2 separate regions of the Mus musculus genome follow, and region 2 is reported to be linked to region 1. The links are microRNA targets in miRTarBase. Many come from high-throughput screens and were not tested one by one. Region 1 holds a microRNA gene; the other region holds the end of a gene's coding sequence.
Evidence for each region. Region 1 holds the annotated microRNA mmu-miR-494-3p (UGAAACAUACACGGGAAACCUC, at 4,481-4,502, opposite strand). A microRNA usually pairs through its seed, bases 2 to 8, with sites in the 3' UTR of a target mRNA and lowers its output. Matches are read on the target gene's strand: a 7mer-m8 pairs with bases 2 to 8, a 7mer-A1 pairs with bases 2 to 7 and ends in A, and an 8mer does both.

Region 2: miRTarBase lists Atrn as a target of mmu-miR-494-3p. Seed matches in the 3' UTR shown: 7mer-A1 at 3,306-3,312.

Annotation. Positions count from the first base shown.
Region 1 is chr12:109,712,323-109,719,868 of GRCm38, reverse strand. Mir494 (microRNA 494) reads right to left here and starts at 4,551; the gene lies at 4,467-4,551. It overlaps Mir1197 (microRNA 1197), which reads right to left; the gene lies at 7,433-7,546. Mir323 (microRNA 323) reads right to left here and starts at 7,361; the gene lies at 7,276-7,361. Mir758 (microRNA 758) reads right to left here and starts at 7,059; the gene lies at 6,979-7,059. It also overlaps Mir329, Mir679, Mir1193, Mir666, Mir543 and Mir495.
Region 2 is chr2:131,024,295-131,032,468 of GRCm38, forward strand. Atrn (attractin) reads left to right here. Exons shown (of 29, transcript NM_009730.3): 29 at 1,523-6,035. The coding sequence ends at 1,647. Gm30286 (a long non-coding RNA gene) reads right to left here and starts at 1,357. Exons shown (of 3, transcript XR_374979.4): 1 at 721-1,357. It overlaps Gm39937 (a long non-coding RNA gene), which reads left to right and starts at 7,548. Exons shown (of 2, transcript XR_866742.3): 1 at 7,548-8,035.

The sequences.
Region 1 (7,546 bases):
AACACAGGTACAGCCACAGCCCAAGGGCATCACTGAGCCAGTAGAAACTAAGAGCTAAGTGTGTGGCTAATCCTGGTACCTCTTAGATGGAGTTTGCACTGGGTTTTGATGCGCTATGGTTGTTGAGCCACGTAAGTATAAACAAAGCTTTTATTCCAACTTGAGCAAAGAAAGAAATAGCTAGTATCCTAGCAAAGGGTTGCCTAAGAGTGATCCCATATCTTGTACTGGCTCAGCTTCGGAAACCCTCCAGGGGAGATGGATGGATGAGGTGTTCTCATACTCTCTGGATTGTATCCTCCCTCCCACTCTCACAAGAGAGCCACCAAAGGGCCCTGCTCAAACAACCACACTCAAAGGCAATTTTGATGCCATGAGGAGGCTACCAGAGAATGTTAGCCATAAAGAGAAGTTCACTAGGGAAAAGGGGTCTGAAGTGCCGCCTTACATCTACCACTCCAGAGGGCAGGGGTACCAGTATCAGAGATAAGAGACAGGCAGCAGTGGCTGATGACAGCTTGCTGTTCCCTGGTCCCAATCGTAGCCAGCACCCACCAGTCCTCAAGGCCTTGCTAATGGCATCAAAGAGCACAGCCCGTAGACATGGCAGGATGCTGGTAAAGAGCTGATCTGGGGCCCAGGCTTTTCTAGAGTCATAGTGTTATGTGACACTCACCAACTGACATATCTTGGTAAAGACACCTGCAGCTGACATCTAGACACATGTCTCCAGAAGGAATTGGTGGTTTGGCTTGTATTGGCTGTTTGATTAAATTGCTATTGTTTGGATTTTATAATTTTCTGGGCTTCTCTTATCTGAACTCCATCCTACAACAGAGCCTAAAAGTGCGCTTCCTGGTTTCCCTTACTGACTGTGCCTGTCCCAGGAGGTGGGCATTCTGGACCTAACAATGCACAGAGCCAAGAGGGGCAGGTGAAATTGTGCTTCTTTGAGGTAAATGCCCCTGTGCACATGGTGACCCAAACCCCCTGGCCTCCCGTCCTCCCTCTGGTCCATGGGGAGCTCTCCAAGGTGAGATTTGATATCGAAAAAGAAGTGCACCATGTTTGTTTCGTCACAAATAAAAGCGAAAAATAACATGGGCAACTTCTTTTCAGGTACCACGGCTGAGCTCTTGCTTGTTCCAGCAGTGTGCCTGAGTGTGAAGGGATGCTGAGGGACAGGCGGAAGGAAGGGATGGTGGGTGAGGCAGATACTTGGCCGGGAGGGGGACAGGGATGGGGGTCCTGAGGCAAGGGGAGTGGCTCAGTACTCATCACTGCCATAGCAATCCAGCCCAAACCCCCTCTACCTCAGGATCTCAGGAAGACCTGGGACGAAGACTGAAGATTCTGAGATGTTGCCTACCATCCTTGCCAGTCATTCTGAAGTGTCACTCGGGGGAAATGGGATGGTGCCAAACTCCAAGACAGAATCTCCTCTCTCAGTTCCAGGATCCTCTTCTGAAGCTGAGAAAAAAAAAAAAAGTCAAAGAACTAGGTGGCAAAATCCAGGGCAGCCTAAACCAGCTGTGTGAGTGCCTGGATGATGCCCTCTGAGGTCCCCCCTCTCCCGCACCCAGAAGTGACTTACGATGTAGACAAATACAACAAAGAGCTCACAGGGTACTGGGAAGCAGAAGAACAGGTTGAAATGGGAGGCTCCAGGATTCTGAGCGTGTGAGATGTCTGGGGATGCAATGTCCGTTCATCATCTTGCGGCTGTCCTGAACGGGACATATGACCGACCCTTCCCTGAAAACAAAACGCATTGATTAGTGTGTGTTACCGTTACTGGAAGGTTACAACACTACAGCAATATATCTGAACCACAAAGGAAAGTGACTTGGTACCAACTACCTACCTTAGACTGGACAATGGGAATAATGAGCAAGAGAACATACCATCCAAAGAATGCCAGTTACACTCATTGACAGGCCACTCAACAAGGAGCCATCCATTCCTCTCATAGTAAGGAAAGGCCCACCTCAAGCTGACTTACACACAAAGGAGGCATCCAGGCTAATATAACTTAAAGGTACAGTGACGTGTTGAGCTTCAAGGAGTGTCGGATGCAGGTCCCAGATTGTACTGTTACTCAAATGTCCCATGGTTCCTCTGGGACAGGCACTTCCCCCTCTGTCTAAACAGCCCTGGGTACTGTCCTCTTGAATTCTAGCTGGCCTTCAAACTCAGGGAACAGTGAGATCCACTCAGACATCTCTCACAGAAATGAAGACTCATTCCCCTCCCAGAAGTCTCAGCAAACATCTCCCTGTGGGCTAAGGTCTCATCTAGGAATCAATAATGTCTGGTCAACTGGTTCCTTTGACACTGTGTTGTGGAGGAGGGAGGAGGGAGCAGGAGCCAACCAACCCAAACCCATTCTCATTAAGAAAGGTCAGAGGACCATTCAAGAAGGGAGATAAACTCACACAACCCAGGCTCACTACATAGACTACTTTCCTAGACTAACATGGCTTCCCTGAAGTCAGTAAGTAGTTGAACCCCCGAAGTCTTCAACGTAGAATAGGATGCTGAAAAAGAAGTGCACCGCGAATGTTTCGTCACATATAAAGCGAAAAACACGCGGGCAACTTCTCATTAAGCACCGTACGTCAGCAGCATGGAACCCTGTGTACCACTTGTGTACCGCTGTCGTCACTTCCTGTGGCTTGAGTACCGCTGTCGTCACTTCCTGTGCGTGAGCAGGCGATCACGCTGCAGCCCCGCTGTACCTAGGGGGCTCTCACAGCTGTGCCCGCTCCACGCAGGCAGAATCAGGATCTTGTAGACAGGCTTTGGATTGGTCATCCTTTGGGGAGGTCTTTGGAGTCTCCTCAAACATCAGAGAATGATATAATAATCCTGACTTTGCTTCCCAAAGTCCAGCTCTGGATCCGTGACAAGAGAGGAGGTGGGTCCCGTGACCTCTCAGTCGAGGTCACCACCCATCTGCTAGAGGGGAGGACATCAACCTATGTTCCACGGTGGAGGCCCTGATGCAAGGAGGTTATCATGAAATGGGAAACAAAAAGATATCTGAGCCTTTGTCAGAACGAGACAATGTCTCCTGGACAAAAATATATGTAAGTGGCATGTGGTGTTCTGAGAACAGATTCTGTTGACCCTCCACTTGCTGGGAAATGGAACATTGAGATTAAAAAAAAAAAAGAACATGAATAAAGATAGACTTCTTAGGTGTTCCAGGTAGATAGTTGGTTGCCTATGCTTGTACACATGTTCTCTCCCTCATGACATGGCTACAGGGCACCTCCCCACCCTTCATTGGCTTGACCAATGAAACATGAGCAGAATCACAGTAGTTCCTAATCTCAGTCGGAGAGTTCCTACTTACTTTCTATGTCTCTGCCATGGCTGCAAGAACCACTTGCCAGGAGCCTGGAGGAGGGGCAAGGAAGCCACCTTCACCCCCAGGGTAGCAATACATCAGGAGGTCGTCCTAGGTATGGAAGGCATACTCAGCATTAGTAAAGAAGGACACACATGAAAATATAATATATTCTTTCAGACAGAACACCATGACATACCTTTTCCATTGATGAGGACTCTGGTGTCCTTCCCTAAGGAGATGTCATATCTGAAATACATCTCCTAGTCAGGTACTTGTGCTGGGAAGCAGCCAATGATTTGAATCCTCAGAAGACAAGCAAAATTGAACAGACATGGAGATGAGCAAGAACAACGAAGCCTATGCCATAAGTGACAGATGTGGGCTTGATGCTGGGCTAGAGAGACCTGTCACTCACCCACCAGGAGAAATGTGCCCCAGCTTGGGATATAGCTTCACATTCAGGGGATCCTCCAGGATGGCGTTGTTTACTGCAAAGATACAGGATCATAAAATGAAAGTCACGCCCATGGTAGCCCCCCCCCAACACACACACACACACACACACACACACTCTCTCTCTTGAACACATATATGTACACACACAAGCAGAAAAAGGATCCCCCTTAAAAGCTAACTCTGCTTGAAATATTTTAGTTTCACGCTGGCCTCAACCCCACCAACATCTTCTTCATAGCTGCCGTGTGCACCAAGGTGTCTTCCCACAGATGGTCTGGGTGTTGGTGGATAGTAAAACGGGTGACCTACAGCATAAATGAAGTGTACGTCACCGGTCTACCATCCACACAGCTACCCCGAGAACAGTGGGCATCATTGTCCCTTCAGTCACGATGCTGGCACGTCCTTATAGCTACTGTGAGGAGGACCTTGCTGAAAAGCCATCACACACCAAGAGTCACCTCACAGTCCAAAGCCATAGGGAGTAGCCTCAGGCCACCACGGGGACCCTGTCCCTTCTTCAAATGACTTTCCTTCCAGGGCTGAGTCCTGATGCCATACTCCCATGTCCCATGTCCCAGAGTCCAGGGAACAGCAGTCCAGGTCCCTTCCCTGAAGGCGTCATCAGGGACAGGGAGTGCCCCCAGGGTGGGATTTGATACTAAAAAAGAGGTTTCCCGTGTATGTTTCATCATAAATAAAGAGAAGACAACACGGACAACCTCTCCTTCAAGTATCAATTAGCACTGGTCAGAAAGCAAACAAAGGCAGCTGGAAAGTGCCAGGTGCCTTGTCAGAAGTGTCTGCTTCTGTGGGCCCTGGAGAGCAACCAAAACCCCTGTGCAATTTGACAGTCCACAGAATTGCCTGAGACTATTTACCAACAACACAGACCACCTGCATTCCTTATCTCTCCAGGTTTAGGGGGGGTCACTGAAGGGAACCAGGGACCCCAGAAATTGTGCCTCAGGAGATAACAGGGGAATAGTAGCTCTCAACTTCAACAAGTACAGTACATTGGGGGTGTTCAGGAATGAGCCTCGGATTCTGGTTCCAAGAGGTAGGTGGGTGATGAGAAGCGACCCAGCCCTCTGGTTGTGAGTCTGGGTAGTTTCCAGGGAAGGTAAGATTCTAAAAGCAGACACATTATAAAGTTAGTAGGAAGGTAAATGTGTGCCAGCACATGTGGTAGTATAAAGAAGCAGCAGGCAGGGGCAGGCAGTTCCACCCCCTGGTCGAGTGGTTCTCAACCTTCCTAGTGCTGTGACCCTTTAATATACTTCCTCATGTTGGGTAATCCCCAACTGTAAAATTATTTTCAATGTTACTTCATAACTGTGATTTTGCTACTGTTATAAATCATAATGTAGATATCTGATATGAAATGCCTATGAAAAGGGCTCATGATTTGCAGATGAGAATTGTGTTCTACCTGGAACCCCACAGAAAGCTCTACTGCTGACCACAACCCTGGGTGGAGTTAAGGACTAAGAACAGATTTCACATCTTTTGTTTATTTGTTTGTTTGTTTGGTTGGTTGGTTGGTTTGGTTTTTTTCGAGACAGGGTTTCTCTGTATAGCCCTGGCTGTCCTGGAACTCATTCTGTAGACCAAGCTGGCCTCGAACTCAGAAATCCACCTGCCTCTGCCTCCCAAGTGCTGGGATTAAAGGCGTGCGCCACCACTGCCCCGCTCCAGATTTCATATCTTAAAGCTCACTGGGCAAATGTGTGTGCCAATTTCAGGTTTGCTTTCCTACTGCTAGAACACTGCTGATTCCAAGTCTCTTATTACAAGGATGTGGGTGTGTGTGAATAGCATGGATCTAGGTACCATCTGACACAGTGGGTGTTCTCTACAATAGACAGTCCTATAGCAGGGGTTGGCTGATTAAAAGCCCATCACCGTGCCTCCAAAGCATGCTGGACATGTGTGGGGGTGGCTGTGTCTAACCTGTTAGAAGCAAAGTGGGTGCAACCTACCTGTGATGACCTGGGGTAGAGTTGCCTCGGTGGCTGCCATCTTCCCCAACTTTGGAACACCATATTGGTTGAGAAGTCCTCCTGAGAATGGACAAGATACTGAAGGTTAGAAGCACAGGCAACAGAAATCTGATGTATGGGATGGGTTTTGTCCGTCACTCACTTGTTCATAACTATTAGTGTGTCCTCAGCTGAGGCTGAGGTATGGACCAGAAGGCCTCCATAGTTTGTTCTGATGGGAAGAGAGGTTGACCAAATGTGTTTCAAACACAGAAACCCCTCTTCCACATCCTCAGTTAACAATAACAATGACACCTTCCCAAACTGGACCTTCAGACCTGGCAGGCCTGGGAGGGTTTAGAGGACAAAGGACACCATTCAGAACGATAATCCACTCGCTGGCTTTGTGGAGAACCAGTTATTCCTGTCCCCTGGCTGGATGCTGACAGGACCATCCTTCCCTGAGACTGGGATCTGGACCACGAAGCCTCCAAGATGGGATTTGATACTGAAAAAAAGGTTAGCTGGGTGTGTTTCATTCTCATCAAAGAAACAGAGACCCAGAAAACCTCTCTTCCGGTACCAGAAGCGAACACTGACAAGACTACCTCGGTAATTCCCCAACGTGACCTTCAGACCTGGCAGGCCTGTTGAATGCAGGGTTGCACACTGGATGTTAGTCAAAGTGCTCAAGCAAGCCATTAGTTGATATATATCTGACAGCCATCCCATCACATGCCCCAGTACAGCAGACCTCCATGGCATGATCCTGAAGTTATGTCACAACCAGAGAGCAGTGGCGCAGTAGAGACTGGCTATAGGACTTACCACCATTTTGGGTAACCACAGAAAGGCACAGATGCCCCCAAACCAAAGATGATTCCTCCCACAGATTTAGCATGCAAGTGTGCTAAGGTGACCTGCGACCTGTGCCATATATAAATGGCATACACACACCCTGGTCATGTCTGACAACATGGTACGTTTCTTGAACTTGGATGGCCCCATATCAAGGAAGGGATCCAAGTATAGGACAGCATTGGAAGCCCATCCAATACTACCATAACAGGCACATATGTTGCAAGTACTGAGGATGCTGTCTCCAAGTCTAACAGCGTACAGCTGGCTTATTGCCTCTGTCCCCAAAAGTTGAGATCTCTTCCAGGAAGTTCTCCAAGGGAAGGTTAGATACTGAGGGTTAGTGGACCAGGTCACAAACGGCACAAATATAGCGTGTGCTCTCTGGTCAACCACCTCACGCACCCACACGTGTATCACATGTCGATGCCACTTTCCTGGTCTGCAAGTCACCCTGCCCACGAAGCTGCCAAGCCAGAGAAATTTGCTGAGAAGAAGGCTGCCACACAAGAGTTATTGTCAGACACAAGAAAAGACAAACCCGCTGGCTGGGTTGCGCTAGCACACACATTTAGTGTCCCCACCCCACAGCTGGTGTTAGCTCCAGGAAAGCTCGCAAGGCGGGATTAGATACCGCAAAGAGGTCGACCGTGTAATGTGCGCCATAAATGAAGCGAACGCGCCACGGACCACCTCTCTCCAAGTACCAAGCAGCAGCAGTAGGAAGACCGGGACACTGGCTCTTCCTCAAAGCAGATGTCACCTCCTGGAAGTCTTCCAAGGCGAGATGTGATATTGAGAAGAAGTAGACCATGTGTCCTACGTCATAAATAAAGCGTACACACCATGGTCAACCGCATCTTCAAATACCTTGAGGTAACGCTGGCTGATTCCA
Region 2 (8,174 bases), not on the chromosome of region 1:
CTCTTTTTTTTTAATCATTTTTTAGATTTTATTTATTTTAAAATTTATTTACTATTATTAATAAGTACACTGTAGCTGTCTTCAGACAACCCAGCAGAGGGCATCAGATCTCATTACGGATGGTTGTGAGCCACCACGTAGTTGCTGGGATTTGAACTCAGGACCTTTGGAAGAGCAGTCAGTGCTCTTAACTGGTGAGCCATCTCTCCAGCCCCTACTATATACTCTTTTAAATGACTTATTTGCTTTTATTTTTATGTGCATTGGTAATCTGCCTGCATGTATGTCTCTGAGAGAGGATCAGATTCCTTGGAATTTGAGTTACCTTGTGGGTGCTGGGAATTGAACCCAGGTCCTCTGGAAGAACAGCCAGTGCTCATAACTGCTGAGCCGTCTCTGCAGCCCCTACTATATACTTTTTTTATAGTTTTGAATTTTTTTTTCTTTTTGGGTATTGCTAAGGATCAAATATAGATCTACTATTTATTTTTTATAACATCCATTAGTATTTTTATAACTTACTACATAGTTTGCCAATTCTTTTATACATGTCCATCAAACATGTAAGTCATAATTTATATAAACCTTGTGTTAAAGCTGGAGGCACAGAAGGAAGATTGCTACAGAGTGAAGTCTAGACTAGCCAGGGCTATATAGTGGGACCCTGTTGCAAAGAAAAAGTTCTCTCTTTAAACACAAAGGCAGTATGAAAAGACATACCTTGATTCTGAAGCTGTGCATAGGAATGCCTCACACAGTGTTCTGCTCAGGACTATACTCAGATGCAGTGGTCTGAGGGACTTGGTGGTGTCTCAGCCAAAATAACCTGGAGTTTAGTAGGAAAGTCTCCTTTATCCGTGTCCAGTCCTGAAGGGAAGCCTTATTTATGTATGATGAGTCAGGACCCATTGTCTTCATCTTACTTGGCATCCCCCCAGCACTGAGTCTCTGAGTTAGCCTTACTTGGACAGAGTGACTCTCTGGGCACTCTGGACAGCATCTCCTGCTTCAAAAGGGCAAGATCTTTAGAAGACACAGAGATGGAGCAGGTCTTACATGGAGATATAGCAGCTTTTCCTTCCTGACCCTTGACCCAATGCTTCTTTGGAAATCCTCATGAAACCCTGCTCCTTTCTGGAGACCCACCCCACAGCAGGGTTATCCATGCCAAGCTTCCTGTACTTTCTCTTTTTGAGGAAGCACATACACACAAAGTTTTAGTAGCTCGCACATCTCACTGTGAAGTAGTGATACTTTCATTGCTATCTTCTGGAAACAGGCAGGAGTAGGCACACGCTCAGAGCATAGCTGCACTCTCATTCACTTGCCACCCTGAGGCAGAGCACACGACTTTGTGATCTGCTATGGAGGAGAGAGAAATGAGTAGTTAGGTGTGTATAAATAAGCTAACACCATCACCCCTTTATCTTTCACTAGGGAAATGTAAAAAGAAATCTGAAATTATTTTGTAAAAAAGTAAGCTGCTTCATGACACATGTCCCCTCTTGTGGGTTCTTCCAAGGTCTCGCTGTGGCCAGTGCCCTGGTGGACATTTCTCAGCAGATGCCAATAGTGTACAAGGAGAAGTCAGGAGCTGTAAGAAACCGGAAGCAGCAGCCGCCTGCACAGCCTGGAACCTGCATTTGATACTGGGGCAGGAATTCGCCCTCACAGAGGGCGTGTGGTCCACGAAGCTGTCTACAGGGGAGGCTGCAGGCAGGAAGCAGGCGTGGGGCAGAAGACTGGGGACCCTTGAAGCGTCCAACTCATGTGCATGATCATGCAAGCTGTTTTCATGGCTCACCCCTCTGTGTCCAGCATCTAACCTTTTACTTCTGTGTAGGAAATAATTTAATTACAAGTCCAGGAATGGTCTGCTCTACTCATGGGTGGAGGAGACCAGTGCCGACCCCGTGAGAGCTGAAGGTGATGCTGAGGTCCCTTGTGGAAGCCTCTCTTGGGAATCTCAACTGCAGAGGAGCTGCCCTCTGTCAGCAGCTCTCCAGCATGGTCCTCTGACACTCCTCAGATGAACTGTTCTCATCGGAAGCTTGCTGTCTTTTTACAAGATGAGCTTTTACTCTCTTCCAGGAAGTAGCTTTTTTTCTAGCTGAGAATTAATAATGGTCTTTCTCTTTGGAAGTCATATCAAAGTATAATTGATGGGGGCCTTGTTTTGTTTTGTTTTGGTTTTTGGAGACAGGGTCTCACTGTGTAGTCCTAGCTGGCCTGGAACTCACTATGTAGATCAGGCTGGACTGAACTCACAAAGATCCACCTGCCTCTGCCTCACAAATGCTGGGATAAAAAGCATGAACCACCAGGCCCAGCAAAGAGGGCTATTCTAAATGTCAAGGTCAATGGAGTTAGAATATATATAAAAAAATGCAATTGATAATTCTCTATAGAAACTTGATTAATTTTAATCCATTCTTTCCTTCTCTTTCTCTCACTCTGTCTTACACACATGCACACATACACACACACTAAGTGCCTAGACTTTGAATAGATCTAGCAATTGGACATTAGTAAGCCTAAGTTTTTACATGATTGCATTCCTACATTCTTGTAAACTTTAAGTAACTACCATTGCAGTTTGTTCTTTTTTTAAAGTCTAATTTGCAGCCAAGAACGAGTAATTCTCACCCCAAGCAACATCTAATAGGGACTGAGTGACCCCAGCCCAGCCTAGTGTCACTTTAGGCCTGACGTTTGAGCAACCCTCGGCTCTTGCCAAGGCACCACAGAATGCACTTGCTCATGCCCTGTGCCTCTTGAGCAGAAAAGAGCACTGACAACTGGGACACCTGGCTCTGTCTTCCTACAGCTGCTCGCACTGACCTGTGGGAACCTGTGGGTCATCCCCAGGCTGAATGGAGTACACACTAGAAGAGGGATGATGCCTAGCATTGGGGCAGCATCTGCTCAGCACATGGAAAGGGACCTGGTTCCATCTCCCCTGGGCAGGAGTTGGTCCAGCCTCCTCCCAGACCCAGCTGGTGGCTGTGAGGAGGTGGGGAATGCTAATGAGAATGAAAAGCACATGGGTTGATGGGAAGGGACAAGATTACCACGTTAGGAGGGTGAGCAGCCCTCTGCTATGTGCCCAGGACCCTGCCTGGACATTGCATTTCCCCATTTATGGTGCTCCGTATTCTGGCATTATGCAGCAGCCTCACACACCTGTCCTCTCCTTCTTCATGTCCTACAGTTCTGCTATCACCTGACTAGAATAGCCCTCTAGGCAACAGTGCTCAAATGTATGAGTTTGGAGAAGTTAACAATCAGAAGAACAAAAACTGTAGTGTTTCACCTTTAAATGCAGTGTTGAAGAGGGAGCCTTTCTCTAAGCCCTGCACTAACCCACTCCTCCCAAGACTCTTGTGGAGTGACAGTTCCAAGCTGAACCATAAATCACTGATGCACAAAACACTGCTAGAAGGCTCACCTCTCAAAACACGACTCTTTGCATCACTATTAAAGAGCAGAAAGTTCTAGAAATGATCCCAGCCTCATCCCCTATACAGTTAGGAGCTCCCCACATCTCTACCAAAACCCAGCACATAAGTATCTGCGTGGTCTAGCCTTTCATCTCCGTAACAAGCCAGGGGACTCTTGGCCAAAAGAAAGAAAGGGAAGTTGCACTAGGGCTTGTCCGTCCATAAGGAATTCCCCTCTGCTTTGCTCAAAGGACCAAATTTCTTTGGCCAAAGAAGTTGCTTCTATGTTAGTCCCATACCCTGAAGTAATATGTACCATGGCTCCCACCTACCTGTTTATGCTCTCCCTGCCCCCAGGGAAACTGTTTATTCTTTCAAAAGAAGCAAACAGCGTTCATTTCTGCTCCTGTAATGGAGAAACAGCCAGCTCCCCTGCATCCCTTACAGCCAACAGCTCCCTTCAGGCTTAGAGCAGGGGGAATGGCAGGGATTAAGAGCTCAGCTCAGAGCCAGTTACCAAGATGGAATGGAGTTGTGACCCAGTAACTGTGTCACGAGAGACCATGTATATAAAATAGTCATGACGACACTGACCTCTTGCACTTGTACATAACTATACTGTAGTGTCCAGAATGTTCAGACATTCAGGGTGTACATAAACAGAAGAGTATCATAATGTATTTTTATTAAACACTAACATCTGAGTTTCACCTAATCTGTTTCTGTGCCATATACTGGGTATCCAAGCTCTGGGAAGTTATCCTACCAGGCCCTGATCTGTTGATAAGGCACTATACACCATGCTGGTGTGTTCTGTAGCCTTGTGCCCATTAGGTAACTGAACAATGATTCAGCTCTTAGAATACCTAGGAAGACAGCAAGCAGGGTGACACACGGCTGTGATCTAAGCATTCAGAAGACAGAGGCAGGAAGAAAATTCAAAAATGGGGCTGGAGAGATGGCTCAGTGGTTAAAAGCACTGGCTGCTCTTGGTCAGGACACTAGTTCAGTTCCCAGTACCCACATGGTGGCTCACAACCTTCTGTGACTACAGTTCCAGATAACCTGACACCCTCCTCTGGCCTCCTCGGGTGCCTGTGGTGGTCCACCTGGTGCACAGACAAACACCCAATACACACAAAACAAAAGTAACTCAAGAATAGCCTGGGCTACATAGCAAGAGCCTGTCTCAAAACAAACGAACCTATGAAGAGCCAGGCAGTCTATCTATTTACATGGCAGTATACTAGAGAAACTCAGGAAGCAAGAGTGTTCATCACTGTTGTAATTTCAAATGCTCCTTGTGATTTCTGGCATCTCTGTGGGGTGAGGTGTTCTGTTACTCTTCACATTCAAAGACTGTCACCCATGAACGTCAGACTTTGCAAAGGGGCTCTCTAAGCTGCACTGTTGTGGCTTTGTCTAAAATTTTAATGACGTTTCTGAGAACCATGTTCTTTTTATACTAAAATCTGGGGATGGGAGGGCTCATTTGTTGATAAATAGCACTATTTTCCCACACCTCAGCCTCCTGTCCCCGTCCTGGTCTTCCCTACACAGTCTGGAGAGGGCTCTGAAAGGTCCACAGAGTTTGACAGACACGAAAGCAACCCATTGCCCCGTTGACCTGACCTGGAAGAAGACTGTCAGCAAAAGGAAAATACCAGAATATCTGGAAAGCTTGAAGTGTAAGATGGGATCTCGTTGGGGAATTGGATGAAGAAAAGCAGAGCGCCTCTGGTAGGTGACTCTGCAGCCTGCCAGCGCCCGCCCTCTTTCTACACAGCAGAGTGTGCATGGCAAGGAAATGAGTCACCTCCTTGGGGGATGGTGCTGTTTTTATGAAAACCTCTGATCCTTGGTGTCCTTTAATTGATCTGTTCAACAAATATTTACTAAACACTTCTAAGCTAACATTAGGGCAGTGACTGAGGTGGAAACCCAGCTCTTTAGACAGCTGTCATCCTAGGATAGCTTCCTGGAAGCAGAACCAAGAAGCCAGAAGGTTCTTCCTAGGGTGGCCTTGGCTCCCTGAAGGAATCTGAAATGCTGACCCTGTCACAACCTCCCAGCACAGCTTTGGAATGAGACATCAGCCTGGCCTCCAGCAGAGCAGAGGCTCTGGAGCTCCACATCCTGCCTGCAGGGAGCCCTCAGGGTGCCCTCCAGAGTACAGGGAGAAACTAAAGGCAATAACAGAAGCTGCTCTCAGAGCCTGACTGTGCACAAAACACTAGTGAAGCCTGCTGAACTAATTCTGCCTCTGGAAATCTTTTCTGGTTCTTTACAGTTTGTTGTTTTGTTTTGATCCAAGCTTAGTTTGTTACTATGTGTGATTTAGCATCTGTCGCACTTGTGTAAATATGGAGTAAGTATTGTAAACTATTTAATTGCTGCGATTGTTGGGTTATACATACATTTAGGACTGCAATTTTTTGGTATTTTTTGTATTGTAAAATAACAGCTAATTTCATCAGGAACAAGAGAATTAAGGGGGTCTGCATTTTAAATGCAGATGTGAAGCACTTGTATATAAATAAAAGTAAATACTATAATACAAAGTTCCTTCTGAAATAAAAGTAGATCTGGTAAAAATGTGCGTGCGTTTCGTTCTGAATGTTCAATGCTAATTTTGTTTTATTTTATATTTACATTTTAGTCCTTATTTTAGCAGTGAGGAGACAGGCACAGCAGTGCATTCTCACCTTGGCAGCTGAGGAATCCCCTAGAGTAGACTGCAACTCAAGACTCTTGGCTTCCACACTGAAAAGAGTTTCAGTTTATGAAGCAGAGTTTAGGAAGTTTAGTGAGGAATTTAAGGACTTCTTTTAATGTTTGTGTCTACATATGTGGGTACATATATGACACAGCATGCATGTGGAAGGCAAACAACACCTTAATGGAAGTGGCCTGAAGAACAAACTCAGGACTTCAATCTTGGCAGCATAAACCTTTACCTAATGAGTCATCTCCAGTCTATACGGGGTGTGTGTGTGAACACATGTGCAACAGCACACAGTGGAGGTCAGCACAACTCTTGCGAGTCAATTCTCCCTTACCTTGTAAGACCTAGAATTCCACATTGCCCAGGCTCTGAAAGTTAGGTTGGGTCCACACTGGGCCATGGCTGATGAAATGTTGGAAAAGTGATAACACCAAACTTTTGCACAGAAAATATTTTCATCTGGGGCCTTCCCTGGAGTTCACAGGCTAAAGTGTTGGAAGGAACATGGGTCCCTGAGCCACCACTTTCACAAAAACTACCTGATCAAGAAGAACTATTCTGGGTTTCTGTTGCTAAAATTCCTTCCCAGAGAGAAATGTAAGCAATGTCTGCCCCTTCAAGGGTCCCAGCAAGAAACCAAGGCACAATTCCACCAAAGTTCACTAGAAAACCAGTGAGTTTATTGGGCTTCCGTGCAGAACATACATGAGGGGTTACTTAGAGAAGTGTGGATACTCCTCCCCCTAACAATCCACACCCTGAAAAAGCCTTACCCAGCAGGGATGAGGGCTTCCCCAGACCCACATTGATGGTGCTCCCATTCCATTTTTCCCTGGCATGCAAAGAGATAGACAGAAAAATAGATTATATATAATATACACATAAATTAGAAAAATAGATTATATAATATACACATAAATTATATATTATATATATAATATATAATACACAGATAGATTATATATGATATATAAAACACACAGAAATAGGGTATATATAATATATAATACACAAACTACTCAGCTATTAAAAACAGTGGATTCATGAAATTCTTAGGCAAATGGATGGAACTAGAAAATATTCTGAGTGAGGTAACCCAATCACAAAAGAACACACATGGTATGCACTCACTGATAAGTGGATATTAGCCCAGAAGCTTGGAATACCCAAGATACCATTCACAGACCACATGAAGCTCAAGAAAGGAAGATCAACGTGTGGGTGCTTCTGTTCTTCTTAGAGGAACACCCTCATAAAGTAGTGGTGGGGGGTGGGGGGAGACAGAATAGGTGGTTTCCAGGAGAGGAGGAAAACAGGAAAGGGAATAAATAACATTTGAAATGTAAATAAAGAAAATACCCAATAATAAAAGAAAAAGAATTTTGAAACAGAGGGTAAAAAATAATACACAAACCAGGTAGATAGATTATATATAATATATATAACACAGAGATAGATAGATAGATAGATAGATAGATAGATAGATAGATAGATAGATAGGTCAACTGCTCGCCCCTCCACTAGGTAACATGCAGTTAAGGCAGAGCTGCATACAACAGATGTTAGGGATACTCAGGTGAGAATCTCAGGCTTTGCTCCATCCATCTATGCTGGGGTGTAAGCTGTCAACAAGTTTAGCTGGGATGATGCTTTGCAAGAGGGCACAGCTGAATGCCCTAAGATGGTAGATGCTTGGCTCAAAGGAGACACTACAGCTCTGCATCAAGGCAAACTAACTGAGATGAGGGCCTTTATTTTCCAGATCTGTATCCTGGAGCATCATTCACCTGTTACTACACTGAAAACATTTGGTGTTGGTTTCATGGCAGATGACAGGCAGTGAGAGAAGTACAGCAGCGGACTGCTAGAGGTGGGGGTTCTGTCAGGACGTGGGAGGCTGTTTGGTTAGTAACTTGGAAAGCAACAAGTTTTTAGCTAGAGGGAGAAAAGCTGGAGATAACTGTACTTGCTTGATTTCTTAAATATCAAATTTTATTTTATGCATATGG